7 linked regions of the Neurospora crassa OR74A genome follow. The protein of the gene in region 7 purifies or fractionates together with the protein of the main gene of each other region. This does not show direct contact. Links are inferred from orthologs where the notes say so. Each region holds a gene or a part of one and is shown on either strand. Other genes may lie near its edges.

Region 1 (3,805 bases), on a different chromosome or scaffold from region 7:
GCAGGTTTTGGCGTACTACAGTACCTACGTACATGGACTGAGAGTGAGTTCAAGCTTGACATCTGATCGAAAATTTCCGGAAATCGAATGGCTCAGACTTTCCGGGAACAGTACACCTAGGAGTTCAAGGTGGCTGTACCTCAGCTTTGCGATCAACGGTTTGAAGGGCCCTGGACTTGTTCCCTTGCTTAGCAGTGACTTATATGTGCCTTGTGAGCTTTCCTTCTTGTTCTTTCCATCTGATAAGAAATGTACCTGCGTCGTCGGCGAAACACGCATGTAATCGTGAATTATGTACTTAGTTGCATCTGCCACATGCGCATGTGATGATGCTTTTACAGTTGCCGCTCAAGATGGCATGTACAAGCGTGCTTGTGCATGAAGCTTTACCGTACTAAAAAGGACCAAGACTGAGCGAGCAGTAAAGCATTGTTATGCGTACCTGCGTATGGAATTATGATTGTAGCCGGATAGGGGTAGATCTGTCATTCTTAGCAGTAGGTATTGTTTCTCAGGATTTATCCGAATCGTTGAAGAGATGATCGAGCCTACCGGCCAACTCATGCGCTTCATCATCAGAGTTTGGACCCACTTTCAACATCACAGCAAGTAGGGATCTCTGTAGCAGTGACAACCAGAGATACGACATCACACGTCGAAGCAGAAGTTGGCTGGCGAGGAAAAAAGTATACTCCATCTCCAATGGTATCAGTCAACAACTCTGTTTTTCTCCAGGTCTAGATTCTAGTAGTGATAGACAAACGCCAACATGATCATTCACTATTATCTCATGACTCGGTAAGAGATCATTTAAGCAGAAAGAGCCTTGAGGTCACCGGCGTTGATCTTGCCGGCACCGACAAGGCGGGCGGCCTCCTCGTTCCAGACAGCCTTGATCTCGTCAGCGACCTTGAGGTTGTTGAGCTTGCCAGCGAGGGCAGCGATCTCATCGGGATCGATCTTGGCCTGGATAAGCTCAACGTCACCGAGAACGGCATCGATGGTGGCAACAGAAGCATCGCCCTCAACGAAGTAGTTGGCATCCTTGACGGAGCCACGGAGGACACGCTTGTTCTTCTTAACAGCGTTCTTAGCAGCCTCCTTGGCCTTCTTGCTTGCCTCACGGTCCGCCTTGGCCTTCTCCTCGGCCTCCTTAGCGGCAGCCTCCTCAGCAGCCTTCTTGGCAGCAGCCTCCTCAGCGGCCTTCTTCTCGGCAGCCTCCTTCTCGAGCCTCTTCTTGTTCTTGGCGGCGTTGGCCTCCTGGCGGAACTTCTTGATACGCTCATCGGCGGCCGAGCAGTCATCGAGCAGCTTGCGGAGACGAGCATTGTCCTCAGCCTTTCTCTTCTTGCGGGTGTTGAGGTTCTTGCGCTCGGTGTGGCGTCTCTGGTCGCGGGACTCGCTGTCATCGGGAACATCCTCATCGAGGTACTCGAACGACCTCCAGCTGTCGAAGTTGTAGAAGAAGTTGTAGAAGTTCTCGACCTCTTCGCGGGTAGAGTTCTCGTTGCCGAAGCTGGGGACGGGCTGGGTGTTGCTGAAACGGCCCTCAGCCTTGAAGACGTTGCCCCAGAGCTTGTAGAAGTTGCCCTTTTGGAGCTGCTTCTTGGTGGGGGGTTCGACATCGGCTTCCTCATCAACAGAATCGAACTGGCGGCGCTTGATGGGGTCGAGGAGGACCTCGGTGGCCTTCTGGATGCACTTGAAGAAGTTGTCGTCCTCGGTGCGGCCAGCGGCGGCCTTCTTATCGGGGTGGTGCTTGAGGACCTTCTTGCGGTGAGCGCGCTTGATCTGCTCCTCGGTGGCCCTCCAGCGGTACTTGGAAAGGCCGAGAACCTTGTAGTGATCTTGTTGCTGTATACGGGGCAATCAGGTTAGCTGTCAAGGTCTTGCGTGGCGTGATACACCATTACACGCTGAGCACTAACCTTCCAGTCCTTGGCGTCGCGAGAGAGCATCATGGGGTCCTCGGGCTCGCTGAGGTCGCTCTCATTGTCCTCCTCGACGTTCTTGGCACGCTCCTGGGCCTGAATACGGTCATCCTCGGAGAAGGTGCGCTTGTGGCGGGCGCGGCGGGCGTGGGCGAGGAAGTGAGGGCCGACGGGCTCGATGGTGCGCTGGGTGGCCTCGTTCTGGGCAATCTTGCCGATGGGCTTGAAGTCCTTCTCGGCGGTCCAGCCCTCAGGGAGGGTGGGGAGAGGAAGGGGAACCACAGTAGTCATTTTTGCGGCCGATGATGAGGATGGTGATGGTTGGGTTGGGAGACAGTGACAGGCGCAGGAACCAGAAGCTTGTATAGGCGGGGCCCCTCTGTTGTCTTTTTACCGACGGAATTCTGGAAATTTTTCGATGGCTAAGCTCCCCACATCTTGCTTATCGACCGCCAATCACAATCATCGCAACTCCAAGTCCACTCCGGCCGGCAAGCCTACCCGGTCCTGGGCGACATTTTTGGAGGTCGCATTGCCGTCACTGCAACTGTTTCCAGACAAGCCTTGAATCTTTTTGTTAGACCGGAAGTTGGCGATACAATACTATTTACTTTCTTTAGAACCTGCATTCCCTTGCATGACCCTCGTTTACCAGCAGTATTGTCAACATGTCTGCCCTTCAAGCCTACCGTCACCTCATGCGCGCCGCGAGAGTTGCCTTTGATGGTACGATGTTCCCCTGCAGTCTCCTTGGTGCATCCGCCGGCCCATGTAGCTCCCCGGACTGACCGGCATGTGCCACTATCTTAGGCGATAACCGCACCCTTACGGCCGCCTACGAGTCCATCCGCCGTGGTTTCCGCGAGAACCAGAACGTTCCCGCCAACGATCCTACGATTGCGCCTGCGATTGCGCATGCCGAGGAAGTTGCCAGCTTTTTGAGATCCAATGTCGTCCAGGGCCGTAAGGACGGCGAGACCTACAGTGAGCGAAGTCTAGGGGTGCTCGAGTCATATACAGAATATGGTTGCTGACTCCATGTTCGTTGCAGAGCTACGGATTCACCAGGACACCGAGCGCGGCGACAACGATACCATCAAGCTAGGCAACCAGACCATCAAGATCGGCGGCGAGCAGAAGTGCTGCTCGGCATAAGTGAATACAAAACCATGGTTGGATAACACAAGGATTTTGGAAGCTCAAGTTCGTGAGAACGTAATGGGACAACAGGACAGTGCCGTTGCCCGTGTATATGTATAAATCATCAATGATACCCCTCAATGTAGAAAACTAGTGGAAGAGACCATGCGATATCAGGAAATGCAACGTATCCGAGATACCCTGAGCCCAAACCCCAAATCATAATAGCCTCCGAACGCCTTGCAATACCATGATTAATAAGCACTTTTCTGACCCCGCTTAGTTGCCAGAGAGACTGGCGTACTGTACGTCTGCCGCACCGGGCGGCGCTGCGATAGTGAGGTTAGATGCGTCGTCTTTCTGCGCTCCTGATGCGCCACCCTGGGCATTTTGTCCCCCGATCGCCTTTTGGCCACCTGTCTTTTGACCACTGCCAAAGGCCGACCGACCATCTCGTAGCATCTCCGAACGCTGTTCCTTGTTCATTGTTCCCAACGCCTTGGGCACGCTCCATCTAACTCTCAAGGGGCATCCGGCAATGACAGCACGGCCTTTGCACTCCGCTGAAGCCTTCTCAGCAGCCTCCCGAGTCTCGTAGTTGACGAACGCGGCATGCGACATGTGCGACACCACCAGCGACTTGATCTTTCCGAACGCCTTGAAGAAGTCGCGAATCTTGAACTCAGGCAGATCATCTTCGATACCGGTGACGAAGAGGGACATTATGCTCTTGT
Region 2 (3,949 bases), on a different chromosome or scaffold from region 7:
TCCACATGCTACCAGTCTTGAGTAAACAGCTTCCCAACGACTGGAGACAAAAAGAGGGAGGGGAACTACGCCACTATCCAGCTGGACTCGGACCACGAAGTAAAGTTATGGTACCGAGGGCGATGCTGAGCCCAACGTGTTGTGACTTTCGTCGTGAGGTGGGCATAAATGTATAGCACGGCGGTTGAGATAAGCGTTCTTTGCCCCCCCTTCCATACGAGACACAATGCACTTGACATTTTCGTGATACCCTGGCGTCTACCGGTGTATCAACGTCGGGTAGTATCGAACGCGTCTTGAGCAATCTTGCTGACTGCAAAAGTTATTTATCTTTCGCCCCTTGTTGGTATCTCTTTGATCTAAACTCCCGATTCCCATTTTGAATGACGGAATATGCGCATCATGAGTTCACTCCCACATACCCTTTCCTTCTGGGCTTCCCAACATCTTGATGTCGCAGCAACGATGAAAAGACATGATCCCTCGCCTACGCTAGATGGTTCAGTTGATAAACTCCTTGTGTATTAGCTCACCACCATCCGCTAAACTGCTGAGTCTCCGGCGGCGGCGGCGCCGAAGAGAAGAACGATTTCAACGACTTCAACGACGACGACTCCCCCTCAACACTCATTGATCGGCCAACTACCTAAACGGCCGAATCAGTAGCGCTGGGAACGTACTCCGCTTGGGCCCTGCTCGACTTGATAACTTCTTGCACCTTCCTCTCGGTATCATCCAGGTCGTTGGGATTCAGCTGGATAAGGTCGATTCCGTAGAACTGAGCGATCTGGGAGAGCGCTTCGAAGCTCCTACGGTCGTGGACAAAGCTGATCGAGACACCAACACGACCGAAACGACCGGTACGACCAATACGGTGAAGGTATGTCTCTGCGTCCGGCTCCCTTTCGCCAGGTCCCTTCATCGGAATGTCGTAGTTAATGACCATGGACACACTGGAAACATCAATACCACGTGCCAGAACGTTGGTGGTGATGAGGACCTTGGAACGTCCGGAGCGGAATTCATCGAGAAGAACATCACGGCTTTGGCCTTCGTAGGCGCCGTGAAGGGCCGAAACTTTGTGACCATCTGCTTCCATGCGCTTCTGGATCTCGTTGGCTGTCTCTCTCGTCTGGAAGAAAGCACGTTAGCAAATGTCTACAACAGTATTCGAGGGGAAAAAACATACCCGGACGAAGATGACGGAAGAACCAATGGTCATGAGACCATACAGCTTGCAAAGAATGTCGTACTTGTCCTTCTCGGTAGGACAGTCCATGAACATCTGCGAAATACCTTTAACCGTAAGCTCCTTATGCTTGAGCTTCATCTGGTTGGCGTTGGGTGCGAAGCGCTCGGCGAATCTCAAAACTTTGTCTGGGAACGTCGCAGAGAAAAGGAGGATCTGAATGGTCTTGGGGAGCATGCTACTTAATGTCAGTAAAGGTCGCATAACACTAGTGCCCAAAGATGAACTTACTTCTTGACGCGGACACACTGGTCACCCAGACCCTGCTGGTCAAGCATGTTGTCGGCCTCGTCAATAACAAGAACCTTCAACTGCGAGATATCGAACTGCCTGCGCTTGACAAGGTCCATGACAGTTCCCGGAGTTCCCACGACGACGCTGCCTCTAACACCCGTCTCGCGCGAGATGGCACCGGGAATAGCAGCCTCGACAATCAAATTCTCGCAGAACTGACCGATGGTCTGGACAACGGTCTGGATCTGGCGGGCAAGCTCTCTGCTGGGAGCAAGCAGAAGGGCCTGAGGCTGGTGGGGCTTGGACAGGTCGATGCGGGAGAGAACGGTAAGGACGAAAGCGGCAGTCTTTCCAGTACCGGATTGAGACTGGGCAATCATGTTGCGGGGAGGGTCGGAGAGCATGAGAGGAAGGCACTTCTCCTGGACCTTGGAAGGTTTCTTGAAGTTGATGGCGAGCAGACCGCGGTTGACAGCCTCGGGGAGACCCAACTCATCGAACGAGCTGACGGAGTAGAGAGGACTTTCGGTGTCATTCTGAAGATCGCTCAACTTAATCTCGACTTCGTACTCGTTCTTGACAAGGTTGCTCTGGCTCTCCTCGATGGAGGTCTCGTTCTCGGGGGCCTTGGGCTCTTCGGACGCAGGGGCAGACACGGGCGCAGCCTCGGGGGCGGCAGCCGGAGCCTCGTCGGGCTTGGTGATGCGGCTGGCGAGATCAGCCATTATGACGTCGTAATTAGGATGACTGCTAGCAAGAATCAAAAATCGCACGGTCAGTACGATACGTTATATTTTTTTCGCCCCCCCTTGGATATTCCGGTTACAGCAAGAAGCCGAGACGTGGGTGAGTCAAGTTTCAAGCTGCGCTTCGTCAGGTCTTGATGCCCCGCGTCCCAATTCAACGCGTCAGGCCCAGGCCGCAAGGACGGGGAGGCGCAAGCTGACAAGCTTACCTTGGAGGGAGTTATTGTTGGAGTAAACAAAATGTTCTTTTAAGAGATCCGATGGAAATCTTGAGCTGTTGGTAACCACAAAGCAACTGCCAGCAGTGGTTTGTGGGCGGGAGAAGGAATGCGAAAGGAAAAGGAAGCTGGCAGAAAGAGATTCTGGCAGCGGCAGGGCTGACTTTGAGAGGAAGTCGCGACGCCATCAAACCAGAGTGATAGTGGGGCATCTGCACCTTCCTCTACACTAGTGTACGCAGTATACGTACCTACTTGCTGTTCTACCTCTAGTGTAGAAGTAGTGCCGTAGTGTAGTTGGTACTGTACCTGCCCTGGAATTAACGCTTGATGCCCTGGCAGAAGCCGGAGGCCAGAATGCCTGGTCAAAGCACGAGCCAGCAGCGGGTGGCTTAGTGCAGGTGGCCGGGGTCCCGCCCGCTGTCTCTTTAAGGAGGCTTTAAGTCCATAGGTGTTTAGTTCAGTTGTTTCTTTGGCCAAACGAGGTTTCTCTTTCCGTCTTTTGAATTCCAATTCTTACCTCTAACATATCCCTAGAGTTACGTAACGAACGAATGCTTCTTCGGAACCAATCTTCATGCAGTTAACGCATACTGCCTAGACCGCACTAGCACCGACCAAGCCGCAGGTCCGACGGCACAGCTGGGGCCTTCTTGAATTGAGTACCTCGAGGTTAGCCACCGGCACCCCAGTTATCATTACTACCTACCTCTAGGTAGGTACCCAACTCAGGTCTTGCCGGCTGCTCGGGCTACGGTGTACGGACCGGGATAACCAGCCGAACGATTACATAGCACACCTTCAGCTGTTGGAGGGGTACCTCCTACCGTCTCTTGCTTTCTTGCTCTACTACTTAGTTGCTTGTTCTTTTAACGCTGTATCTGCCGTGCTTCTTCTATCTCTGCTTGGAGTAACACTCAAACGCTCCGCCAGTCCCGCCCATTCCTCCAAAGACCCAACGGGTTCCTGCCGCTACTTGTACATACCCAGGACCAGCACAGCACGATTCATCATCGATTCAGACACGACGACAGCCGACGGAGCAGTCCCACTCATTCTCTCCCGAAGTCTAGATTGCATGTATACCCGACTACTGGTTTGCATGGTTATCCACGACGACAACTCTCAATATTAAAAGAAGCTCCTCCAACAAACTATGGCCGAGGGCGAAATCGCGCCATCCTTTGGCACCGTGCTCAAGGTTGTCTTCATCTCTCCTGGCCTACTCAGAGGCTTGAACATGTGCTGGTGGCCTTGGACTAACATGCCCGCATGCAGGATGGCTTTAAACCGGCCAATGTCTATGTGGCCAACAACATTGCCTTCTTTGACGATGTGCAGGCTTTCTTCCGTGAAAGGAGCGCCGCCGAGAAGCGATATAGCGCCGAGCTGAGCGCAATAGCAAAGAAGTACTATGACAAGAAAGCCAAAAAGTCAACGAGCCTGAGTGTCGGCGACACCCCCACAATGACCCCTGGGTCCCTTGAGAGGTACGACAAGGC
Region 3 (4,013 bases), on a different chromosome or scaffold from region 7:
AGAAGAGCTTTGTGTGACAACAGACTACATTCATAATTCAGCTCTTGAGAAGATGATGAGAAGTTGATGAAGCTTGAACTGTGTGCCGAGAAGATCTGTTCCAATTCAATACGCATCTTTGCATGCTGGGTGTTCGCCGTACTAAAGGTACCTATCTATATATAGCTAGTATCGTATCTCCTCTAGTCGAGGTGTAGGGAATCGATTTGCGGACAACACGTTGAATAAGCTCTATCCCTCCAGCTTTAGTTAACTGGCTGGGTTTAAGCCTTGCTTGCAGCAAAGAATGCCACCAACAATTACATGCTGATGCTTCACTTCATTGCACAGCCCTTTGGAGTTTCAACGGTGTTTGAAAAGTAAGTACTGAATGAGCGTGTTTGAAATCGCTATGGGTATTTATAATCTAAGTAGTGTAAAGATCGCGCTTGGTTTCCGTCTCCAGCCTAATTACAGTAACCATGTCCATCAAAGACGCTACAACTCTATCAAGAACTTTTGGCCCTCTTCGTTACACAAAAGCCCAAACCAGTTATACACAAACTCATCCTATCAGTCAGCCACCCGAAGCAGGGCGCAACGTTCGTCATCTTCACTATCTTCATAAAAGAAATAAATATCACTACTGGAAGGGGAGGCTCCACGATGCCAGCAAAGGGGGGTTATCTATTCCAGTTGAGAATTTGTTCGAAGGAATACTATTACGCCGCTGCTTCTTCACATGTGTCCTGCGATTACTCTAAGACTCGAAGGTGAAGCTGGTGCCGACCTTGTGGGTGGCCTGGTCAAGCTTCTGGGTATCGAAAGAGGCACCAACACCGAGGGTGACGCCCTCACGGAGGAGAACATTGTAGGCAATGGCAGCGACACCACGGTCGTTGATCTTGCCCTATACGGTTGGAAAGAAACATCAGGTCAGCATACAGAAGTTCCATAAACGGAATGACAGCAATAACATACCTTGACGAAAGAGACGGGGTCAATGCGGTACTTGGTGGCGACCTCGAGGCCGACGGTGTTACCGGTCTTGGAGTTCCAGGTGGCCTTGGAGCCGGCCTCAACCTGGGAGTTGACCTTGTGGTAGTAAGAAGCGGAGAAGACGCTCAGGTTGTCAGTAGCGGTGATGGCAGCGCTGTAGGTAGGGGCGTGGTAGCCGACAGCGGCGCTGTAACCAGTGATGGCAGCCTTCTGGACATCGTAGCCAGCGGAGGCACCAGCGAGGAAACCCTCGTGGCCGACAATGGCGTCAATGTTGGCGGTGGGGCCCTTGAGGAGGTCGAAGAAAGCACGGCCGTGGAAGTTGCTCTGCTTGAAGTGGAGGTTGAACTTGGCGCCGCGAGCGTTGGTGGCGGGGAGGAAAGAGAAGATACCCTCAGCCTTGAGACCCTTGGCGAGGTTGTCGGCCATCTCGACCTTGGTCTCAAGGGCGTTGGCAGTGTTCCAGGTCTGGGTGACGGTCAAGCCTGTTGTTCGCCAGTACATTAGCATTGTCGTGAGGTTCGCATACGGATAATGGAGAAAGCTGAAGTAGAGGGGTCGTCCCCGAACTCGAGGACCGATGACGCCGCCTAGAGAGAAATTCAAGTCTACCAGCGGCCGAACACGCGCTGAAGGCCTCTGCTTTGGTTGTTTCACGTTGGCAGTACCATTGTCGTGGGCGGCTAAACTTCCGTCGGGATGACAATTCCTGGCCTTTTCGTCTTTGTGGACGCGTCTGTGAACAATGCAAAAGCCAGGAGGTAGTGGTGCGCCGGGAGGAAGGGGACCAAAAGGGGGACCAGAAGAAGAAGACAGAGATGTAAGAGAAGAGTGATATGTACCATTGGGCTTGTCGGTGAATTTGCCCTCGAGCTATCAGTCACGCAAAAGAGGTCAGCTTGGTCCGTTGGCAACATGAGAGAAGGGAGGGCGTTTGGCGCAACAGCAAGGTGGTATGATGCTGTCGCGGCATTGCGCCGAGAGCCCCAAGGGAGGGAGGAGGTAACGTACAGCACCGCTGGTGACCTTGTCGTGTGTGGACTTGCCGGTAACCTTGAAGGCGACATTGTTGGGGGTGTTGGACTTGACCTCGATGGTGCCGGCAGCGAGGTGGTAGAAGTCCTTGTTGAGGAGCTATATTGCGCGCAAAGAAGTCCATGGTTAGCGACACATTATAGTGCGTGCATGGGGACCAGGGCCCAATCATTCAATCATGGTGGGGGTGGAGGAGGATGACGATGTTGCTTCGTGGACATTGGCATCGACGAGCTATCGCGAGAGGGGGATGTGTAGGTAGGTATGGGGAAATGCCGCTTCAGTTTTGGAGCTTGTACAGCTTTCTCCAGCCAAACAGACAAACACGTCTCTCGATAACATCGATCGAACAGGTCGCCGTCATAGCTCGGGTGCGGAGCACAGGGAGGCGTGATTTTTGCTTACGTCGTTGGCCGACTTGGCGATGTCAGAGAAAGCGGGAACAGCCATTGTGAAAGATGTTGTGTGAGGGCGACACGGGTATGATGGTGAATGGAGAAAGTGAGGTTGCGGAGTTCAAGAACGCGAGCTGGAGACGGGAGTCGGGAGAGAAAAGGCTTGCGGTTATGTTGCGCGCGGCGGGGAGCAGCAAGCTCAGTCGGGTCGGCTGCGACTGACGGCGGGGGGGCCTCTCTCTGGTGGGTTCTGGCGAGCCTGGCGACTGGGTTGGGAAGTCGGCGTCGGGTCTGGGAAGCTCCAGCCGAAAAGTGGAAATGGAAATGTTGGGAACACCAGAGACACCCCAAGACCAGGTGCAATGTCCCGATAAATTTCTTAGACGGAGTCGTGATTGGTCTTTCTCGCCGTGTGCATTTGGCAGCTCGGCAGCGCTAGTAGGCTCGCCATGACAAGCTTGAAGCAGCACCAATCGCGACCCCACGCCATTGACGAAACCAGCCCGTTCATGCACACCATTAACCCTAACCCCTTTCAGCGTCATGGCCCCCTTTCACGCCTTCTCCAAAGGTAAACAATCAGGGCACAGACTGAAGCTGAGGCAAACCATATCATCTGCAGTCAGCCCTTTCATCTCGAGACCGCAAGTGCATTTGTGTCGTCCGGAAAAGGCCCGCATCTCATAGCACCCACATAATGCAAGCATCTTTTATCTATCGCATACGCATAATTGTCATCCCCTTTTCTCGTACTCACATCTTCATTACCGTCTGTTGCTTGGAATAGGTCTTGCTTAGGTTGTTTCACTTGTCGTTCGTGTATTGCACCCGAACCTTGCTCAATACGAAGTCAGTCCCATCCAAACGGTCACCATTGTTCACAAACATGCCAATTGCTACATAGAGTTTTGAATCACTTTTTGTCTTCATCTCTATGCTGGGTTAATGGCTAGTATAGGTATACGCGATCCGTTTATTGTGACCCCATATAACGCCCTGCATTGTAATCCCGATGCCAAGCTTTTAAACATTCCAGTCCCCATTTTCTTTATCCATGGTTTCCCTTTTTGGTTTTATTATTTTCTTGTTTTGCTTTACTCGTCCACGTGGTCATACTTGGCTTGGTGAATGGAGATGGCTCTGCCACTGGGGTCGGTCTGCTTGACCCACTTGGGAGTCCACCTCATGACGGTAGACGCGCACGAAGGGGGGAAGTGCTCGTCGAACATGCAGCGGTACCAGTAAGCCTCCTTGGTATCGGGGATGTCGTCACCCCACTCGGGCTTGGGGTTCTTCATCATCTCGTCAGTGACTTGGAGCTCGGCCTGGTCCTTGAGAGCGTCGATCCATCCGTAGCCGACACCGTCGGAGAACTGCTCCTTCTGGCGGTAGAGGATGTTGTCAGGGAGGTAAGCACCCTCGGGCTGGTCCTTGGTGTCGAAGGCCTTGCGGAGGATGTACTTCTCGAGCTTCTCCTTGGTGATCATCTTCTCCTGGGGATCGATGTTGAGAGCAACCTCGAGGAACTCCTTGTCGAGGAAGGGCACACGGGCCTCAAGACCCCAAGCAGAGGTGGACTTGTTGGCGCGCAGGCAGTCGGCCAAG
Region 4 (4,184 bases), about 960 kb from region 7:
ATCTTCGAAGCATATGAGGATGAGGGAGGGAACCTCGAGGTTGAGAATGTAACTTGGAGAGGATGGAGAGAGAGAAAGGTTGTAAGATTGAAGGTAGATATCGCTAGTGTTGTCATGGAAGTGAAATGTACATCAGGTCATGTCTTGTATGGTATGGCGGCTGTGATATGGATAAGTAATCATGGGGTTGTGATGGAGAGGGTGTTTTGCACAAGACAAGAAAGGGACACAAAAGAGTGGTCTGTTTACCTGGACCTAGGTCATAGTGAAGGGGTGGTTAGTAAGAACCGCCGAGTTCGGAGTTTGAAATGGAAATGAAAAGGTCTACTACAAGTACTTGTGTGTCAATATCATCGTCAGTGATTTTCCATCTTATTATGTGCCTATGGCGACCAGTCAGTTCAAGATCACGGTGCAGCAAGAACTTCACTTGTCCAGTGAGACATCGAAAAGTGCACTTAAACAGCCAACACAGTGTTGAGTACAAGTCACGGATCAGTGTCAGCTTGTTGTGCCTTTGCCAGAGGAATCCAAAACACTTGTTTTGATATTGCTGCTCTGCCTGATGCCTTTTGCCAGATGCCATATTGGGTGTTAATCCAAAACAAGCCTGTCTTATGTCCATTCTTACGACCTTGCCATGGTCGAGCTATGTCATAGTGCCACCTAGACTATAGCGTGTGTGTCTTTTTGCCCTCTGGATGGTTGCCATCCCATCCTTTGTCTGCGGTTTGAACCGGGTAAAAAGTGAAATATATCCTAGGTATAACGTTCATGCATGGAAGGAAAGGGGATAGATACGGGGAGGAACCAGGTCATACGAACGCGCGCAATTTCAACTTTCGAGCTTGAACAGTTTTACTTTGTTCGATTCCGCGGTAAGTGGTGGACAGATAAGGAAAACCTCTTTCACGGTTCCGGTGTTCATGAACCACTTTTCCGCTAAAGGTGAATGCAACCAAACAGACGAACACCGACCCCATGCTGGCTGCTTTTTTTATCCCAACCCGCCGCCATCCTGATTCTGACATTGCCGCCTCGAAGAGAAAATAAAGGGGGGGCCGTGTGACTGAATAGTCTGGCTTCGATGTATGGTCGTTATGCCGATATTGAGAGGCATTTAGTTGCCGAGGCTGGGGAAGGCAGACTCATCGTTGGGGTTGATGGGAGCAGCCTTGTTCTCGGCGCGGGGAGCACCGCCACGGGCAGCACCACGGGCAGCACCACGGGGAGCGCCACGGCCACGGCCGGCGTCACCACGGGGACCACCGCGGCCACCGCGGGCACCACCACGAGCGGGACGCTCGGGCTCGACGAAACGCTGGTCGATCTCGAGGACCTGCTTGACCTTGCGCTCACGCTCGCGCTGCTTCTTGCCGGCGGAGCCAGCAATGAACTCCTCGGTCTCATCCTTCTTGAGGGGCTTGGCGTTGGCCCACTTCTTGTCCTCAACGACACCCTCGTTGGCCTTGCGGACCTTGAGGGCGGCCTCGGCCTCGAGAGCGGCCTTCTTCTCGGCGAGCTGGGCAAGGTACTCAGAGTAGGAGACGTGCTTCTCCTCCTCCTCCTCGGGGATAGCCTCAGCGGCGGCCTCACCCTCGGTGGTGGCCTCCTTCTGCTCAGTCTTGGCGATCTCCTCGGCGGCCTGCTCATCCTTCAGCTCGGCCTGGCCCTCGGTGGCGCCCCAGGAAAGGGCAGCCTGCTTCTCGGATCCGCTAGTCAGGGTGTTAGTGGACGGAGGTGCCTGTGGCTAGAAATTGCTTGACCGGAACATACGAGGGGATGGACTTAGAGTGGCGGTCATCCGAGGTGTTACGGGGGTGACGGCCACCGCGACCACCGCGGACGCGGGCGTTAGCGCCGCCGCGGGGACCACGAGCAGCACCCTCCTCAGTGGGCTTGCCACGGTTGCGGTCGCTGCCGGCGTTGCGGTCGCGGAAAGCTGGGACCGAAAATGTCAGTTGAGAGGGTAGCCATGGTTAGCATGTTGGATGATCAACATACCGGCCTCGTTGCCGGTCAAGTTAGAGCGACGGCCAGAGCCCTGAGCGGGGGCCTTGCTGGGAGCGACGCCATCGGAGTTGCGCTTGGTGGTGTGGGTCGAGGTCTTCTCGACGATCTTAGCAGGGGCGGCGGGAGCGGTGTTATCCTCCACGTCGTTGCCTGAATGAAAACAATCGATCCGTCAGTATTGGTGGTTCCTTGGATTGCGGTGTTCAATGTTCCTCCTCGCCCTGCCAATTTCGAGTGTGCCGTCGCGTGGGTTCCGTAATTCACAGGAGGGTGGGCAACCAACCGAGCAGATCGAACAGGTTCTGTAGAAAAAGAATCGCAATCGGTTAGTTTCTTGCTGTCTTGAGCTCTAGATTTTCGCGGTATGGCCGGCTGCTGCTCGCTGTGCGTCTGGATCCCCATTCTCCAAGCCTCCCTCCTCTTTCGGATCCCAAATTGTCGCAAGGAGCCGGTGTTGGCGGACTCGCTCGGAAACAAAAATGAAGCTCTCAGTTTCATTTCACGGCGAGGTCCAACCACGGGGTCATCCATATCCGCTGCACAGCATGCAGCTCTCGGCCGACCGTGAAACCGGCCATTTCGGAGATTGACGGGGAGAGAGATAAACACACCTTGGAAGCGACCGACATCTTTGCGCTTGACAGGACGTTGGCCTGACTCAATGCGCTTCTTCTAGACGGGGTTGGGTAGGGGGGGCGGACGACAGCGACAACGACGTCTGATGCTCGCTGTGGTGTCGTAAAAGATTTTGGCAAATCGCTCCCGGGCCACAGGGAGCTCGGACCAGGTTTTGGCAGTGGCACGGATCACAGAGACGCTCGTGCCCCGCCCACCTGCACCAAATCTCCCCTCCAAGGCCCTGCTCTGGCCCTCTTTGCCGCTGTTCCCCGCTTCCAACTTTGACTGCCGTTTTGGCTTTTTGGTGAAATTTCAGTGCGCCGCTGTTATTGGTGGTTAGGGCTACCACTTTGCACGCTGCCTGCCCTTTGTTACCAATGTGACGTGCGTATCGATCCGTACACGCCGTAACTTTGCCTGTTTGAGCTCTGCTCCCAATCCGGCAAGTCTTGGCAGAGTGTTTGCAGCTGCGACGACAACCACTCACGACCATAGACATCATCGTCACCAAGGTAAACAAACCACTGGAAACACATCCGTCACAAACACCTGACGGAAGCTGCCGCTTTATATGCCAAGTTGACGCATTCCTGCTGAGGTGACAGCCTTCTATGAGATCGGACCTGCCTCAAGCACCCCGGACTTCCTGTCAACGGACTTCATGCCAAAAAGGCACGCATTGCCGTCGTGCTTTTAGACACCGGACGTCATGTCTTTCTTGGGGAAGTATTACCTTGGTTGCTGTGCTTGACGGCTTGCCAACAGGTGCTTGATCACGGCCACATTGGAGAGGTCATCACGGACCACTTGAGCAGTTTGATATGCAGCGTGGACCTTTCACCTTTTTTTTTCTTTTTCTTTCTGTTTTTTTTTTCCAACCCCTACTTCTATCTTACTTCCTTTCATTCAAGACTTCTCTGGAAAGTCTGCCATATGCCATGATGTAGAACAGTGTTGGAAGTTGTATAGGTTCTACGTGTCTGTTGAACCGCATCACCCTCAAATCACAGCGGCTCTGCATGCGTTTCCACAAGTGTGGTTCTGGATGGACTCACCCGTTGGTTTGCATCTGACAGTCATGGCAGAGAGTGGACGCTGTGGCGACGAAGCTCAAACAGCAACTATATTAGGACGAGTACCGTTCGCCAGTCGAAGCAGTTGCCAATGGATGTTGAATTCATGAATTGAAGCTCCCCTTTTTAACACACTTGTTTACTTCCTCGTGGCCCTTCGAGGCGGAGATGGACATACATCTGCAAAATACATAACCTTTACCACATTAGAGTCCTGTCCTCGCATCGAGAATGGAAGATAGCCATCAGCAAATGTCTCTTTGTTGTAGGTTAGTTAACCTGAGATATCGGTATCAACTAATCCAGTTATTGTACGGATAACAAGTCGCGGAGAGCCATTTCATCATGATCAATATGCAAGTCGACTTCCTTCTTTGTTGTGTAGCTCTGCAATTCCTTTCTCTCCTTTTCATCTGCCTTTTCAAGATTCTACTGCATTTCTCGTGTCTTGCTTTTCACCCAACATCGAGTCTTTCGTGT
Region 5 (3,533 bases), on a different chromosome or scaffold from region 7:
TTCATAACCCTACTAAGTTCATCTTCCTCGAGAATACACTTAATGCAACATCAACATCCCCCCATTAGCACAAACAACTTGTCCCGTACACCACCCCGCCTCCTCACCACACAACATGCCCACCACCCCCGCAATCTCCCCCGTCTTCGCCAGCCTGCCATGCCACTGCTTCGCCTCCTCCACGGCCTCCTTGCCATGCAGATCCTCCCGCGCCTTCATCAGCGGCGTGTGCTTGATCCACCCCTCGATGCCCTCCAGAAACTCCTCCGAGTTGGATGCATACATGGGTCCCTCGACCGGGCCTGGGTTGACAGCGTTGACTGTACAGTTCTCAGCCAGCTCGCGGCTCCAGGTACGGGTCATGGCTTCGATGGCCGCCTTGGAGCCGCCGTAGACGGACTGGCCTATGAAGCCAGTGGAGGAGGAGACGGAGGAGATATTGACGATGCGGCCAGAGCGGTCCTTGGGGAGGTAAGGCTGGGCAGTCTGGACGAGCAGCAAGGGGCCTAGGACATTGACACGGTAGGTTTCCGTAAAGTCGTCCACCTTGACGTTGGGAATCAGGTCGTTGCGGGCGATGCCGGCGTTGTTGATGATGATGTCGATCTGGAGGGAGCCATCGGCCTTGGAGAAGGCGGACGTGGCGGCGGTGATGATGGCTTGGGGGCCTTCGGGAGTGCCAATGTCGGCTTGGACGGGCACGGAGGAGATGGAGTAGGTCTTGTTGAGACGGTCGGACAGCTCGGAGGCTAGGGAGGCGGAGGAGGGGGTGGTGTAGTTGAGGATGAGGTTGCAGCCTTTGGAGGCGAGGTTCTCGGCGATGGCGGCGCCGATGCCTGGAGATTCTTAGTGTCTTGAATGTGAATTCAAGAAGCATAAGAGTTACTAACCTCTAGAAGAGCCGGAAACAATGGCAAGCTTGCCCTTGAGTGGTTGGGACATTGTAAGTGGTGTTGTCGTTCTGGTATGAGTGATCTATGGTGGGGTAGCTCGAGGCTGGGTATCAAGAGGGTATCACAGCAATCACACACACAAGAACAGAAGAGACGACAATGAAAGTCAGAGTCAATTGAGCATAGGGGAGCGGAAAGCTCTATATACATTCACCGCCCGTCACGAGAACATTGTCCAACTTCCTCATTATCGGCTAGTATTACTGTCATGAATTCAGAGAAGCTTTCAGACGAAGCTCCCCCGCATCACATTGCATCCACGGCGCGCTTGGCCCGGTGTTGACTGCCCCTAGCTCCCGGGCTTGTCTGCCCCGCGATTTGTGCGGCTATAGCAGCCGTCCCACCATCATCCAACCGTGAAGCTGTGCCGCCAGGGGTCAGGCCAGTCTGGATTCCACACGGGAAGTGCCCCACATTGGAGTGCGGATTGTGGATCCAGAGCCTCCCACCACCGTAGCGCAGCGTCAAGCAGTCTCCAATTCAACATTGACAAGTTGTGAACTGCGACCGCAACACCGAACCACCGATCCCTGACATAGGCGACTCGCTTCTTGTAAGTTCGACCCCCGTTGAAGACTGCTCCGTATCAGCTTGGTACTATCCGTTGCTGGGGATACCTACCCTAATACCCTGCCGTCGAGATAGCTGTTACTAACCAGTCCAGCTGCTTCTCCCAGAGCCCACCACCACCATCCCAAAGTTGAAGCTATCACCAAGTCGTCAACCCTCCCACTCTCTAAGTCACCACCAACACCACCATCCTTCCAGACCGAACCCCCCAATCCCAACAGCCACAATGGATATTCGCGTCCTCCGCCCCTCGGACATCCCTCTGATCCAGCACGCCAACATCGAGAACCTGCCCGAGAACTACTTCCTCAAGTACTACCTGTACCACGCGCTCTCATGGCCTCAGCTGTCGTATGTCGCCGTCGACGTGAGCCGCCCGGCCAAGAGCGCCTACGACTACCCCAAGATCGTCGGCTACGTCCTGGCCAAGATGGAGGAGGAGCCGACGGACGGAGTGCAGCACGGTCACATTACTAGCTTGAGCGTGATGCGCACCCATAGGCGACTCGGCATTGCTGAGAAGCTGATGAGGCAGTCTCGTACGTCGTTTCCCCCCCTTCTCCCCCCTTTCTCTCCTTATCTTCCTTTCTCTCCTTATCTTCCTTTCCTTTCTTTCTTTCTTCCTTTTTTTTCTCTCTCCTCGCTCCGCTCGACCTCTACCCTCCACACAAAAGCACCACCAACTAACCTATCATCTCACTGACGCGGTGTGAAAAAACAGAACAAGCAATGGTCGAGACCTTCGGCGCCCACTACGTCTCTCTGCACGTGCGCGTCTCCAACGCCGCCGCCATCCACCTGTACCGCGACACTTTGGGCTTCAAGACGGAGAAGACGGAAGCCAAGTACTACGCCGACGGCGAGGACGCCTATTGCATGAAGCTCGACCTGGCGCCCATCCGCGAGGCGCTTTTGGCCGAGCAGCTGGACGAGAAGGACGCCAAACCAAAAATCGAGGAAGGAAAGGGATCGGAAGGGGTGGATGAGGGTGAGGCGGTTGGTGATGTCGGTCGTGATCCTGAAGCAGACTCTAAGAAAGAGGATAAGACGGTCAAGGTCAAGGTCGGTAGGGGGTTAGGTGTGGGTGAGTTGGTGGAGAGGGATGAGAGTAAACACTAGAGATATAACTACTGCTGCTGTTACTGTGACGGTGTGCTTGTAAAGAGGGGAAGAAGAAGAAGAAGAAGAGCGTTGATATTAGACTTGGCATTACTGGCTGGGGTTTGGGAAAAGGAAAAAAGAAAGATTCGCTGTTTTTTTATTTACAGAAGGAGACGGGCGTCTAGAACTAAACCCTCCCCGAGCGATCACTTCGAAAATGGTGGGATGAATGCATACCCGGCGTAGCGAATTGGATGCAAAATAGGTGAATAGTCATGTAGTCAATTTGAGAGTAGTTGTTCAAATTGGTTCTGTAAATACCCATTGTACGGATTAGAAGAAAAGAAAAGAAAAGAAAAAAGGCTGGCCTATTGGAGGGAAAGGGGCAAAGTAAACAATGAACAAGTAGAAGGGCACAGCCAGAACAGAATTGGCAACATCACCATCAATTTTACAATGGAGCACTTCCAATGTGTCTACTAGTCCGAGCAGTAACGAATAAGCATAGCTTTTGTCTACTCATTGTGCCTATCGTTGCGAAATTCGCGTAATCACTTCAAGAAACTGGCAAACTTGGCAAACATACTACATTGTAGATTCTGTGTCGCAACAGAGCCCCCAAAGCCAACTGAATCTTCTCTTCACCACCAAATACTTTCCAGTTCGCCCAGCTTCCAAGTGACAAGACACCCCCGTCTCTAATCTAAACCTCAACCAATTCCCCCTCCTCCGTGCCATCCCTCGTCTTCCTCACTTCCGTCAGCTTCTCCCCACCACTCTTCTTCCCCTTCGAATCCTTCGGCGGCACAAACTCTCCATCCTTCAACGTCCACCCCTCCCTCTTCATTCTCGCCCACGTATGCTGGATCTTGAACCTGACCAAATCTCCCGCCGCCCTTGCGTCCTCCG
Region 6 (4,144 bases), on a different chromosome or scaffold from region 7:
AGGTGGTGTCGGGATTCTTAGGCGAAACGCCAGAAAGCAGCGCCGAAAATCCTGATCTTGCGGAAATACTGAGTAGAACTTGGTGTCTCGGGGTAAGAAAGCAATCTCAAGAATAAATAGGGAAACGAGAGGGGCGGAGTGCTTAGAATGTTCGGGTTGACCGGGTGTTAGGAAGAGAACACTAGAAACTCGTATGGTAAAAGCACCTAATACGGGATGATGCCATCAGATACACGAGATATCGAAGTAGGCGAGAGCTACATTGCCTTCTTTCCCTTTACACTGTTCTCTCAGGATTCCGACAACGTGGCAGAGGATCGCGGTTGCCTTGGACTTGGAAAAATGGGAGAAGGGCATTCCAAGCCAGATTGACGCAACAAAGAAGTCAAAAGGCAGCTTCCTTCACATAACTGAAAATGATTATTCCAAGGCTCCTCGACAATTCCTGTTGCTGTACCGGGTATCTTGAATTTATAATTTCGTGCACTAAAGCATTACAGGTCGTCAACAATTATGTTGCTGGTTGGTCAGCACCACTAAGATACAAAGGGTAGTACATGGTGACTGACTTGGCATGACCACTTCCTCTTCAAGCGGCGTGATGAGTAGTAGCCACTGTCGAGGCGTGACATAGTATTATCAAAGGGGTCAATGTCTAAGGACTGCCCCAAGCCACCAAGGTCACTAAACAACACGACTCCCATCTCTATGCGCGTACCAGGTAAAAATGAGCCACATGTCCTCGTTGCATACCAAGGGTTCATCGTCTATAAGTCATTACCGGATCACCGATGTTTCTTCAAGCGTCCAGCATCGTGTCATCGCCATCAAATCCGGGTTGCGCGACAGGGACACCACCTCCGCGACCTGCGAGAAGTTCTCGCCTGATCTCGGGCGAAATCTTGTCATGGCCGTGAGTTAGGAGAAGATCCAGGAGAGCCTCTCGCTGGTCCTCAGTAACTACACAAAGACCGCGGTTAGTACTCAAAAATAATAGGGACGCATAGTGAAACAGCGACGGAAGAAGCAAACTCACTGTTCGTCTTGTATCTCTGTGCAAATGAGAGCATGCACTGATGGAAGATGACTGGTAAAGCGTTGGGTGCCATATGCCCGCCGGTGGCGAAAGCGGGATACCGAAGAAAGTGGAAGACGAGGGCATCGAGCGCTTGGAAGGCTGTATTACAAAGTCAGAGAATACAATCATTGGCACGCTAGGAATTGGACTTACGCAAGGCGTGACGTTTCTCAATCAGAGTCTTGAGGAGGAAATTCGTAGCGCTAACGCAGTCGAGGCGCTGAGAAGCCTGCGCAGAAGAAATTTCGCACAAGCCCTTAATGGCCATACCGGAATGAACAGCCGGAATGGTGACCCGGGTCAAAACACCGGCTACGATCTGCGCCTCACGCAGCGAGCACGTTCCGGAAGCCGCCAAAGGAAACAAGAAGCCTGCCAACGGTTAGCTGGGTTGTCCCTTTTGAGCAAACCTGACTAAGCGTAGGCAGTAAATAACACACCTTTGAAGAAACCACCAGGCTTGTAGAGGGCCTTTTTTAGGGAGTTGAAAAGATGGACATTGAGCTTCTTGGTCTCGTGAATGTCCTCGCGGACGCGTTCTAAGATCACCATCTCCATAAACCGTTGAAGAACAGCCTCCTTGGCGGACGCAAATATCCTGGTGGCCGCGTAGCTAACAATCGCAAATGTCAGCAGCGTTTCTCTGGCTCCCGAAAACAGGAAGAAGCAACCATACCAGGCATTGGGAGTCCAGGACTCGGGTTGTGTAATGGGCAAGATGTCCTCCCAGTGGGGGATCTGAGGAAGGACCTTGAAAGGCTTGGGAAGCGGCCCAGATTTGTAGCGAGAAAGAATCATGCCAATTCTGCGAGAAGGAGTCTGTCAGTAGTCTGCCAAGAGGGTAACAGAAATAACGGCCAGCCTACTTCTCAAACACTTCCATCACCTTTGGGGGGATCTCGTAATCCTCATCAATTGGGCCAGGCTCGTCGCGGTACCCGCCTTGGGGGCCGCCGGCTTCCTTCTCTGCGATCTTGGCAAGAATAAGGTCCGCCAGGTTCACGCTCTGACCCTGCTCTTCTGCCCCTTCTGGCTTTCCATCCCATCCGTGTGTTAGGAGCGGGTCCTCGTTCATTGTGGGTGTGATAAACTGGTTGAATGTCTCGAGATCGGTGGCGTCGACTTCGATTTCCTCTACCTCCTCCTCCTCTTCCTCGCCCCAGGCCTCGTCGTTCTCAAACTTGTCGTCTTCGTCATCGTTGCGGTCGAATCTCGATGGATCGAACTCGAACGCCGAAGGAGCAGATCCGGAGGCTGCGTTTTGTGTTGTCCGGAGGTTCTCCTCCTCCTCGATGAGGCTACGGCTCATAGCCAAAATGTTGCGCGAAGCCTTGGCGTCGACATACTTTTGCTCATCTTCGTCGTTGGCGGCGCGAGTGTTCTTGCTCTTTTTGCCGGAGTTGTTCTTAAGGACGCCGGTAGAAACGAGGTCGGCCTCGAGGGGGTTGTGGCGCCTCTTCGACGTCGCCGCTGTTGTCTTGGGCATCTTGAATGGCGGTAGGGTTGTGCAATCGGGGGAAGAGTTGATGATACGGAGCTCTCCTGGTTGTCCCCTCTCTTTGCGATGTCGACTTGGCTGCACACGGCAATTGGGGATATTTTTTTCGGCGACCCTTGGACAATTTGTTCCCGCCGTGGAGAAGTCTGGGCACTTGAAAGGCTTGCGCTACGCTTGTGGTTGGTCACTTCTTTGCTGTGTGGGCACACTTTATTTTCTGATGCCAGGGCGGTGAAAATGATAAGCGGTACAATACCTCTTATCGCTTATCGTCTAGCTTGGACGCGCCCGGCGGAGCAGCGATAAACATTTTATTGCCCCGCATTTTCGTCACTGTGCCCCTCTTCGGTTGCAAATTCCTGGAATTTTGTTCCCTGTGTTTACAGTTTTTGCAGCTTGGCCCACTGCATGAATAAGAGCAAGGGAAGTCGCGACATCATAGCCTCGCTCGCCACGGTTACGAGCTTATAGCAAGTCCAATACAACCATACATCCAGCTACCATTGATAACATGCCGACCGAACTTGAAGAGGTAATTCTGCCAGAACCAGTGCAGTGTCAATGTCAGTGGACAGACAACTAATCGCTATAATCGCCTGAAGCTCGTGGGCTTCATTGCCTCGCCGAACGCCAACATCCGCCTTCTCGCGACAGAGAACCTGGTGCCCTTCTCAGCGTCTCAGCCCGCCCTCTTCAAGACCGACGAGCTCACCCCCATCAAGCATCTCAAGTTCTTGATCCGCGACCACCCGGTAGGCCCAACAGACTTGTCTTGTTTGCGCCCAAGCAGCTTCAGCTAAGACGTCGGTACCATGTGCAGAAAATCGCCGAGCACGCCCTAACATGCTTGATCAACTTGACTGCCGAGAAGGATGTGCTGGAATACGTCGCGACCGATGATCGCTTCCTTGGAATCCTCCTCGGGCTTCTTGTCGTATGTGTATCCATTCTGAGCTCCTACGGTGCGTGCGCAGCAAGGACTAACCGCTTCGATCCCGTTCCTATAGGAGCCCGAGGAGGTTAACGCCAATCTTATGGCTATGTTGCTGGCAAACTTGACCAAGTGGGATGGACTCAAAAGTCTTCTAGACCGGAAACAGCCCGCTCCAGAGAAGCTCAAGTCCGACGATAGGGTCATTAACCAACTAATGGACCTCTTCGTCAAGGGCGCCGACGGGACTTACAACAAGCACGCCGATTACGACTACCTCTCCTACGTCTTTGCCGACCTTTCGAAACATGAAGAGATCCGGCACTACTTTGTCAACAGACAGGACTACGACGATGTTATTCCAATCAACAAGATCAAGGTCTTTACCGAACACAAGTCCGATATCAGGCGAAAGGGAGTGGCGAGCATTATCAAGAACGCTGCTTTTGACATTCCTTCGCACCCGGCGTTTTTGGATGAGGATGACGTCAATATCTTACCCTACATTTTACTTCCTATCATGGGCGGCGAAGTTTATCCCGAGGATGAGGCATTGGAAATGCTTACCGATCTTCAGCTATTGCCTCCAGACAAGCAGCGCGATCCCGACAGCAGCAACATCCTGACACACCTAGAA
Region 7 (3,991 bases):
GTATGGGCCCCACCACCAAGTTTGACCGAACTTGCCTAATCCGAGACCGCAGTCTCGAGGTCTGCATCAAGGAGAGTTCCCTCTTCTGAAGGGATAGTTGAGGATTTATCTGAGTGTATACCATGAAAGTCTTCAGGGTAAACGAAGATGTATAAAGAGGGGCGTATAAGTGAAGAAGAACCCGAGGCACCCCCAAAATCTGTAACGAATGGAGCGAATTGATTGTCGATCTATACACACAACACAGCACCTTTCAGACCAAGCAGAGCAAAGACCGGAGATATAGACAACAGATCGAAGTGAGGAGGAGGAGAAGGAGGGAGGGAATTCACAAGGGATTCATTTATATATGGGGACCAAGACAGATGGATGATTGAAACCAATACAACAAGAAAAGTGTTATGCGTGTCCTGACTCTCTTCTTCTTCTCCGTGAGTTAGGTACAACGTGTGAAGTATCTCTACCTTGTTTCTTATTGGTTCCAAGTACGAGCGGGTGCCTTAATGATGTGTTACCCCTTCATAGGATCCCATATTCCCAACTTTTCCGAGTCCTAACTGCCCCTAGACACTATATTCCATTACTGTTATACCTCCAAGTTGTGTATTATTCCCCTCAAACGTCCATATCCTTTTCCTCCCTTTTTAAACAAGGGACTGGTGCCAGAACAAGATCCAGATTACTTGTCTCGAAGTATCTATTTGTTAAGTCTTGAACGATTGAGCAGGAGTCTGTCAGCTTGAATATCCAAAGTCGGTGTAACCGTGTATTTCAAAACAACGTCGGAGCAAGTGAAGACAGAGCTCATTTAGTGTATGTTAACATTCATCAGTCCTCCAGTGTTCGTCAAATGTTCGGTGTGAAGCTACTATGCAAAGACGGGAAATCTTGAACGGTTGGATATTTGCGGGACACTTGAGCTGAGAGTGGCTGATGTTTACCTGCTTACATTCCATGTCCCGATTTAGGCCATGATATCATATCAACAAACCTACGGACGAATTTCTTCACATGCCTCACTTAGATTGGTGCCTATATTCCATTAATAGTCTCCTTCATCACACAAAAGGATATGGCACAATTGGCAATCGCAAAACAAGGCAAGGAAGGAGGGCTTGTTCAGGTATCTTATTTCCCTGGCGAAAGTCAGGAATTTCCCGACGTTGCTGCATTGATCGTGGGGTTACAAAAAACAATTATAATCCCAAGCAACAATCCGTCCGCCATTTCCCCTTTTCGCAAGTCTTAATGCAAATGTGCTATGACCATAGTTGACGCCAAATTGAACCCATCCATTTCCGCAACCCAGTGTTTGTTTGGACTTGCAAGCACATTGAAAAAAGACCCCGCCCAAACCCAGCGGCCTTTACCAGACAATGGAAGTATCGTCCGCGCCGAAATTGAACTCCGCCACAGGAGCGACCTCAGGCTCGTCGAAAGACACAGGCACCTCGATCGAAGGCAAAACCTCATTTGACCCGACCTTGAGGTTATCCTACTCCTCAGCGGCGGGGGCAGCGGCCTCCTCCTCACCGGCCTGCTCCTCCTGGCGGGCAGCCTCAGCGGCAGCCTGGACCTGAGCGGCCTTAGCGCCGTAGTCCTGGCTGATGGGCTGGGTAACGGGCTGCTCCTCCTTGGGCTCGATGATGGTGACGGCGTCAGGGAGAGACTTCTGGGGGCCGGACTTGCCCTCGGGGTCAGAGCCGCGCATGATCTTGACCTTGATACCGAGGACACCCTGGCGAAGGAGAACGTGGCGAGTGGCAGAGTCGATGAAGTCCTTAGCGGGCTGACCGGAGTGGATCATGAAGCCATCGGTGAACTTCATGGACTTGGCGCGAGCAGCGCGGAGCTTGCCGGAAACGACGACCTCGCAACCCTTGGCACCGGACTCCATGATGAAGCGGAGGACACCATAGCAGGCACGACGGACGGCAAGACCGTTGAGAAGCTTGTAGCGGAGGGACTCGCACTGAGCGACGGCGGAGAGACCGCGGTTCTGGACCTTGGCGGCGTAGAGGGAGACAGAGTTCTCGGGGAACTTGAAGCGCTTCTGGATGAGCGAGGTGAGCTCACGGATGCGGCGGCCCTGCTCGCCGAGAACCTCCTGGGTGTGGGTGGCGCGGATGATGATGTCGGTGACGGTCGGGGTAACGCGGACCTCGACACCGGAGTAGCCCTCCTCAGCGAGCTCGCGCTGGAAGAACTCGTTCAGCTCGGCGTAGAAAACGCCATCAGCGACGAACTTTCTGCGCTTGGAACTGTAGACAGAAAGAGAAGCAGTCAGCATCAACGCCGCTTTTGTTGTTTTCCAAGCCACCACTTTCTAAATCCCACCCCGTCGGCTGAATCTGCTGCAACCAGCGGGCAGCATATCTCCCGGCTTCGTGACTGAACGCCTTCGTTTTGCATTTGCACCCCCACAGCAGCAGCAGATCGCACCGACGTGTAGACAGTCGTGAAGACGTGTAGTAGACATGTAGGAGGCTTCCATGCTCTTGGTTTGCTCTGGTTGCTTACATCTGGGTGCCGGGAACAGCCATTTTTGCGATTTGGCTATGAAGGTCCTGAGGGCTTCAATTGTGCTGCTGAGGAGGATGGAGTGGGATACCTTCTCGCGGTGTTCACCGGACTTTTCAAAAAGATGGGGGGAAATTCGACCGGCACAGCTACTTTTTTTGCGAATTCCTTGGTGGGCTGCCCTCTGCCGCTTCTGAGTGGCTGGCTGAGTAGGGTTAACAGCCGCCACGGCTCATCCCGGCTGGCAAGCGGCTGGCAATCCGCACCCAGTCTGCGCGCCCAACGCTAGGTAGGAGCCGCCAAGCGCAACCCAAAAAAGGAGATACGTACAGATCTCACATGTGGGGTTGAGGTGCTTCCTTGCGCTTCCCGTCCCCGTCCAGGCCCAGCCTTGCGCCCAGACCACCTCGTGCACTTCACTTCCTTTGATTGTCAGTCGTTGCTGGCTCGGGCAATTTCTGACACCGGCAGGCACCATGAACGTTCCGTCCTCAGTCGGGTTCGGGGTGGCGCTGATAGTGGGGTGTCCATCGACGTCAATCGTCGCTTCCCCGGTTCCAGAGCGCGTTGCACTCCAGATGCTGACTTTCTGCTTGTTCGCAAATCGCAGTCACTATTCGCATACCCTTGGATTCGGACGGCAGGAGGATTAGCAGCAGAGGTTCTGTAGCTTACAAAGTTACCAGTCCCTGTCGCCTTTAAATACCTGTCCTCCAAATCGATTCCACGTGGACCTCGGGGACAATCTCTTGAAATCCCAACAAGTTCCGCGTGAATCACTTATCGTTGACCGGCACCAGTGACTGCGCGGCGAAGTTCCTCCTTTTCGTTTATATCAGGACACATGTTCCTAATTGGTACATTTTTCTGTTTCCCAGTCCTGCAGTCTGGCACTATTGTACAACTACGATACATCTTAAGCGAAGCAGATTCTATTCTCCCCGTTCCTCTCGCCGCAACCGCATCTGTCAACACGTCTTGCGCTCCTGTCCGGACACATTGGGTCTCGGACGTCCGGTCTCCTACCTCGGCTGCACAGCGCCTCATAGTGCCGGGGTAGTTAGTATTACCTCCCAACATCACGATGGCGGCGCCTCACCTCAAGCACGTATGCTCTCCATCATCTACCTTTCCAACTACGTCTCGTTTTCTTTACTGAACCGAATGCCAGACTTTCGCAAACATCCATGCCTTGCGAGGCGGAAAGCCGGAGCTCGGCGACCTTGCGCTCAGTGACTACCATCTCGTCTTCCGCTTTCCCCCCGAGTCTTTGACTGCCGCAGATCCGAGTCTGAAAAAGAGTGTGAAGCAAGTGTGGTTTGCCTTCCACATTATTTCACAGTGCACCCTACGGCCCACGCCCCCTTCTAGTGGCGTTCCTTCCTCGATACGTATTCGGTTCAGAGATTTTACATATGTTAGCTTCAACTTCGCAGGCGACAAGGAAGCCCGGGAGGCATTCGAGTTCATC

Evidence for each region.
Region 1: the proteins of crp-10 (region 7) and NCU03009 purify together in Saccharomyces cerevisiae (affinity purification with mass spectrometry; 3 studies listed by BioGRID). This does not show direct contact. The link is inferred for Neurospora crassa OR74A from reciprocal best matches to the Saccharomyces cerevisiae genes RPS3 and ZUO1.
Region 2: the proteins of crp-10 (region 7) and NCU01160 purify together in Saccharomyces cerevisiae (affinity purification with western blotting; 3 studies listed by BioGRID, with this or other methods). This does not show direct contact. The link is inferred for Neurospora crassa OR74A from reciprocal best matches to the Saccharomyces cerevisiae genes RPS3 and DBP5.
Region 3: the proteins of crp-10 (region 7) and por purify together in Saccharomyces cerevisiae (affinity purification with mass spectrometry; 3 studies listed by BioGRID, with this or other methods). This does not show direct contact. The link is inferred for Neurospora crassa OR74A from reciprocal best matches to the Saccharomyces cerevisiae genes RPS3 and POR1.
Region 4: the proteins of crp-10 (region 7) and NCU00225 purify together in Saccharomyces cerevisiae (affinity purification with mass spectrometry; 3 studies listed by BioGRID). This does not show direct contact. The link is inferred for Neurospora crassa OR74A from reciprocal best matches to the Saccharomyces cerevisiae genes RPS3 and STM1.
Region 5: the proteins of crp-10 (region 7) and NCU08944 purify together in Saccharomyces cerevisiae (affinity purification with mass spectrometry; 3 studies listed by BioGRID, with this or other methods). This does not show direct contact. The link is inferred for Neurospora crassa OR74A from reciprocal best matches to the Saccharomyces cerevisiae genes RPS3 and ARD1.
Region 6: the proteins of crp-10 (region 7) and NCU08323 purify together in Saccharomyces cerevisiae (affinity purification with mass spectrometry; 9 studies listed by BioGRID, with this or other methods). This does not show direct contact. The link is inferred for Neurospora crassa OR74A from reciprocal best matches to the Saccharomyces cerevisiae genes RPS3 and ENP1.

Annotation. Positions count from the first base shown.
Region 1 is NC_026501.1:8,457,541-8,461,345, forward strand, and holds NCU03009 (zuotin), read right to left. Parts: upstream 2,320-3,805; 5' UTR 2,223-2,319; coding exon 1,929-2,222; intron 1,855-1,928; coding exon 811-1,854; 3' UTR 501-810; downstream 1-500. Other genes in the region: NCU03008 (hypothetical protein), read left to right, coding at 2,600-2,657, 2,742-2,915, 2,983-3,086; NCU03007 (pre-mRNA-splicing factor slt-11), read right to left, coding at 3,351-3,805. UniProt on the Saccharomyces cerevisiae protein: Component of the ribosome-associated complex (RAC), a heterodimeric chaperone complex involved in regulation of accurate translation termination and in folding or maintaining nascent polypeptides in a folding-competent state.
Region 2 is NC_026505.1:3,084,549-3,088,497, forward strand, and holds the start of NCU01160 (ATP-dependent RNA helicase dbp-5), read right to left. Parts: upstream 2,801-3,949; 5' UTR 2,439-2,800; intron 2,234-2,438; 5' UTR 2,209-2,233; coding exon 1,481-2,208; intron 1,428-1,480; coding exon 1,190-1,427; intron 1,133-1,189; coding exon 647-1,132; 3' UTR 1-646. Other genes in the region: NCU01161 (actin polymerization protein Bzz1), read left to right, coding at 3,604-3,648, 3,726-3,937. UniProt on the Saccharomyces cerevisiae protein: ATP-dependent RNA helicase associated with the nuclear pore complex and essential for mRNA export from the nucleus. May participate in a terminal step of mRNA export through the removal of proteins that accompany mRNA through the nucleopore complex.
Region 3 is NC_026505.1:5,561,133-5,565,145, reverse strand, and holds por (outer mitochondrial membrane protein porin), read right to left. Parts: upstream 2,801-4,013; 5' UTR 2,464-2,800; coding exon 2,419-2,463; intron 2,113-2,418; coding exon 1,990-2,112; intron 1,852-1,989; coding exon 1,821-1,851; intron 1,464-1,820; coding exon 961-1,463; intron 890-960; coding exon 740-889; 3' UTR 350-739; downstream 1-349. Other genes in the region: NCU04303 (asparagine synthetase 2), read right to left, coding at 3,503-4,013. UniProt on the Saccharomyces cerevisiae protein: Non-selective voltage-gated ion channel that mediates the transport of anions and cations through the mitochondrion outer membrane.
Region 4 is NC_026503.1:3,075,185-3,079,368, reverse strand, and holds NCU00225 (hypothetical protein), read right to left. Parts: upstream 2,801-4,184; 5' UTR 2,643-2,800; coding exon 2,625-2,642; intron 2,316-2,624; coding exon 2,297-2,315; intron 2,164-2,296; coding exon 2,005-2,163; intron 1,943-2,004; coding exon 1,777-1,942; intron 1,716-1,776; coding exon 1,121-1,715; 3' UTR 341-1,120; downstream 1-340. UniProt on the Saccharomyces cerevisiae protein: Ribosome preservation factor that protect a small pool of nontranslating, vacant ribosomes in cells under nutrient starvation conditions.
Region 5 is NC_026505.1:5,781,090-5,784,622, forward strand, and holds NCU08944 (N-acetyltransferase complex ARD1 subunit), read left to right. Parts: upstream 1-1,414; 5' UTR 1,415-1,506; intron 1,507-1,617; exon of another isoform or gene 1,618-1,630; 5' UTR 1,631-1,749; coding exon 1,750-2,062; intron 2,063-2,244; coding exon 2,245-2,642; 3' UTR 2,643-3,033; downstream 3,034-3,533. Other genes in the region: NCU08943 (3-oxoacyl-(acyl-carrier-protein) reductase), read right to left, coding at 40-836, 891-942; NCU08945 (RNA exonuclease 3), read right to left, coding at 3,328-3,533. UniProt on the Saccharomyces cerevisiae protein: Catalytic component of the NatA N-terminal acetyltransferase, which catalyzes acetylation of proteins beginning with Met-Ser, Met-Gly and Met-Ala.
Region 6 is NC_026504.1:2,401,756-2,405,899, reverse strand, and holds NCU08323 (bystin), read right to left. Parts: upstream 2,729-4,144; 5' UTR 2,565-2,728; coding exon 1,945-2,564; intron 1,884-1,944; coding exon 1,755-1,883; intron 1,692-1,754; coding exon 1,519-1,691; intron 1,451-1,518; coding exon 1,232-1,450; intron 1,178-1,231; coding exon 1,037-1,177; intron 961-1,036; coding exon 800-960; 3' UTR 501-799; downstream 1-500. Other genes in the region: NCU16789 (hypothetical protein), read right to left, coding at 282-357; NCU08324 (DNA-binding protein HGH1), read left to right, coding at 3,088-3,108, 3,179-3,328, 3,397-3,510, 3,584-4,144. UniProt on the Saccharomyces cerevisiae protein: Required for normal export of the pre-40S particles from the nucleus to the cytoplasm.
Region 7 is NC_026503.1:4,035,196-4,039,186, reverse strand, and holds crp-10 (40S ribosomal protein S3), read right to left. Parts: upstream 2,704-3,991; 5' UTR 2,544-2,703; coding exon 2,521-2,543; intron 2,262-2,520; coding exon 1,496-2,261; 3' UTR 501-1,495; downstream 1-500. Other genes in the region: NCU11185 (protein phosphatase), read left to right, coding at 3,605-3,628, 3,692-3,991. UniProt on the Saccharomyces cerevisiae protein: Component of the ribosome, a large ribonucleoprotein complex responsible for the synthesis of proteins in the cell.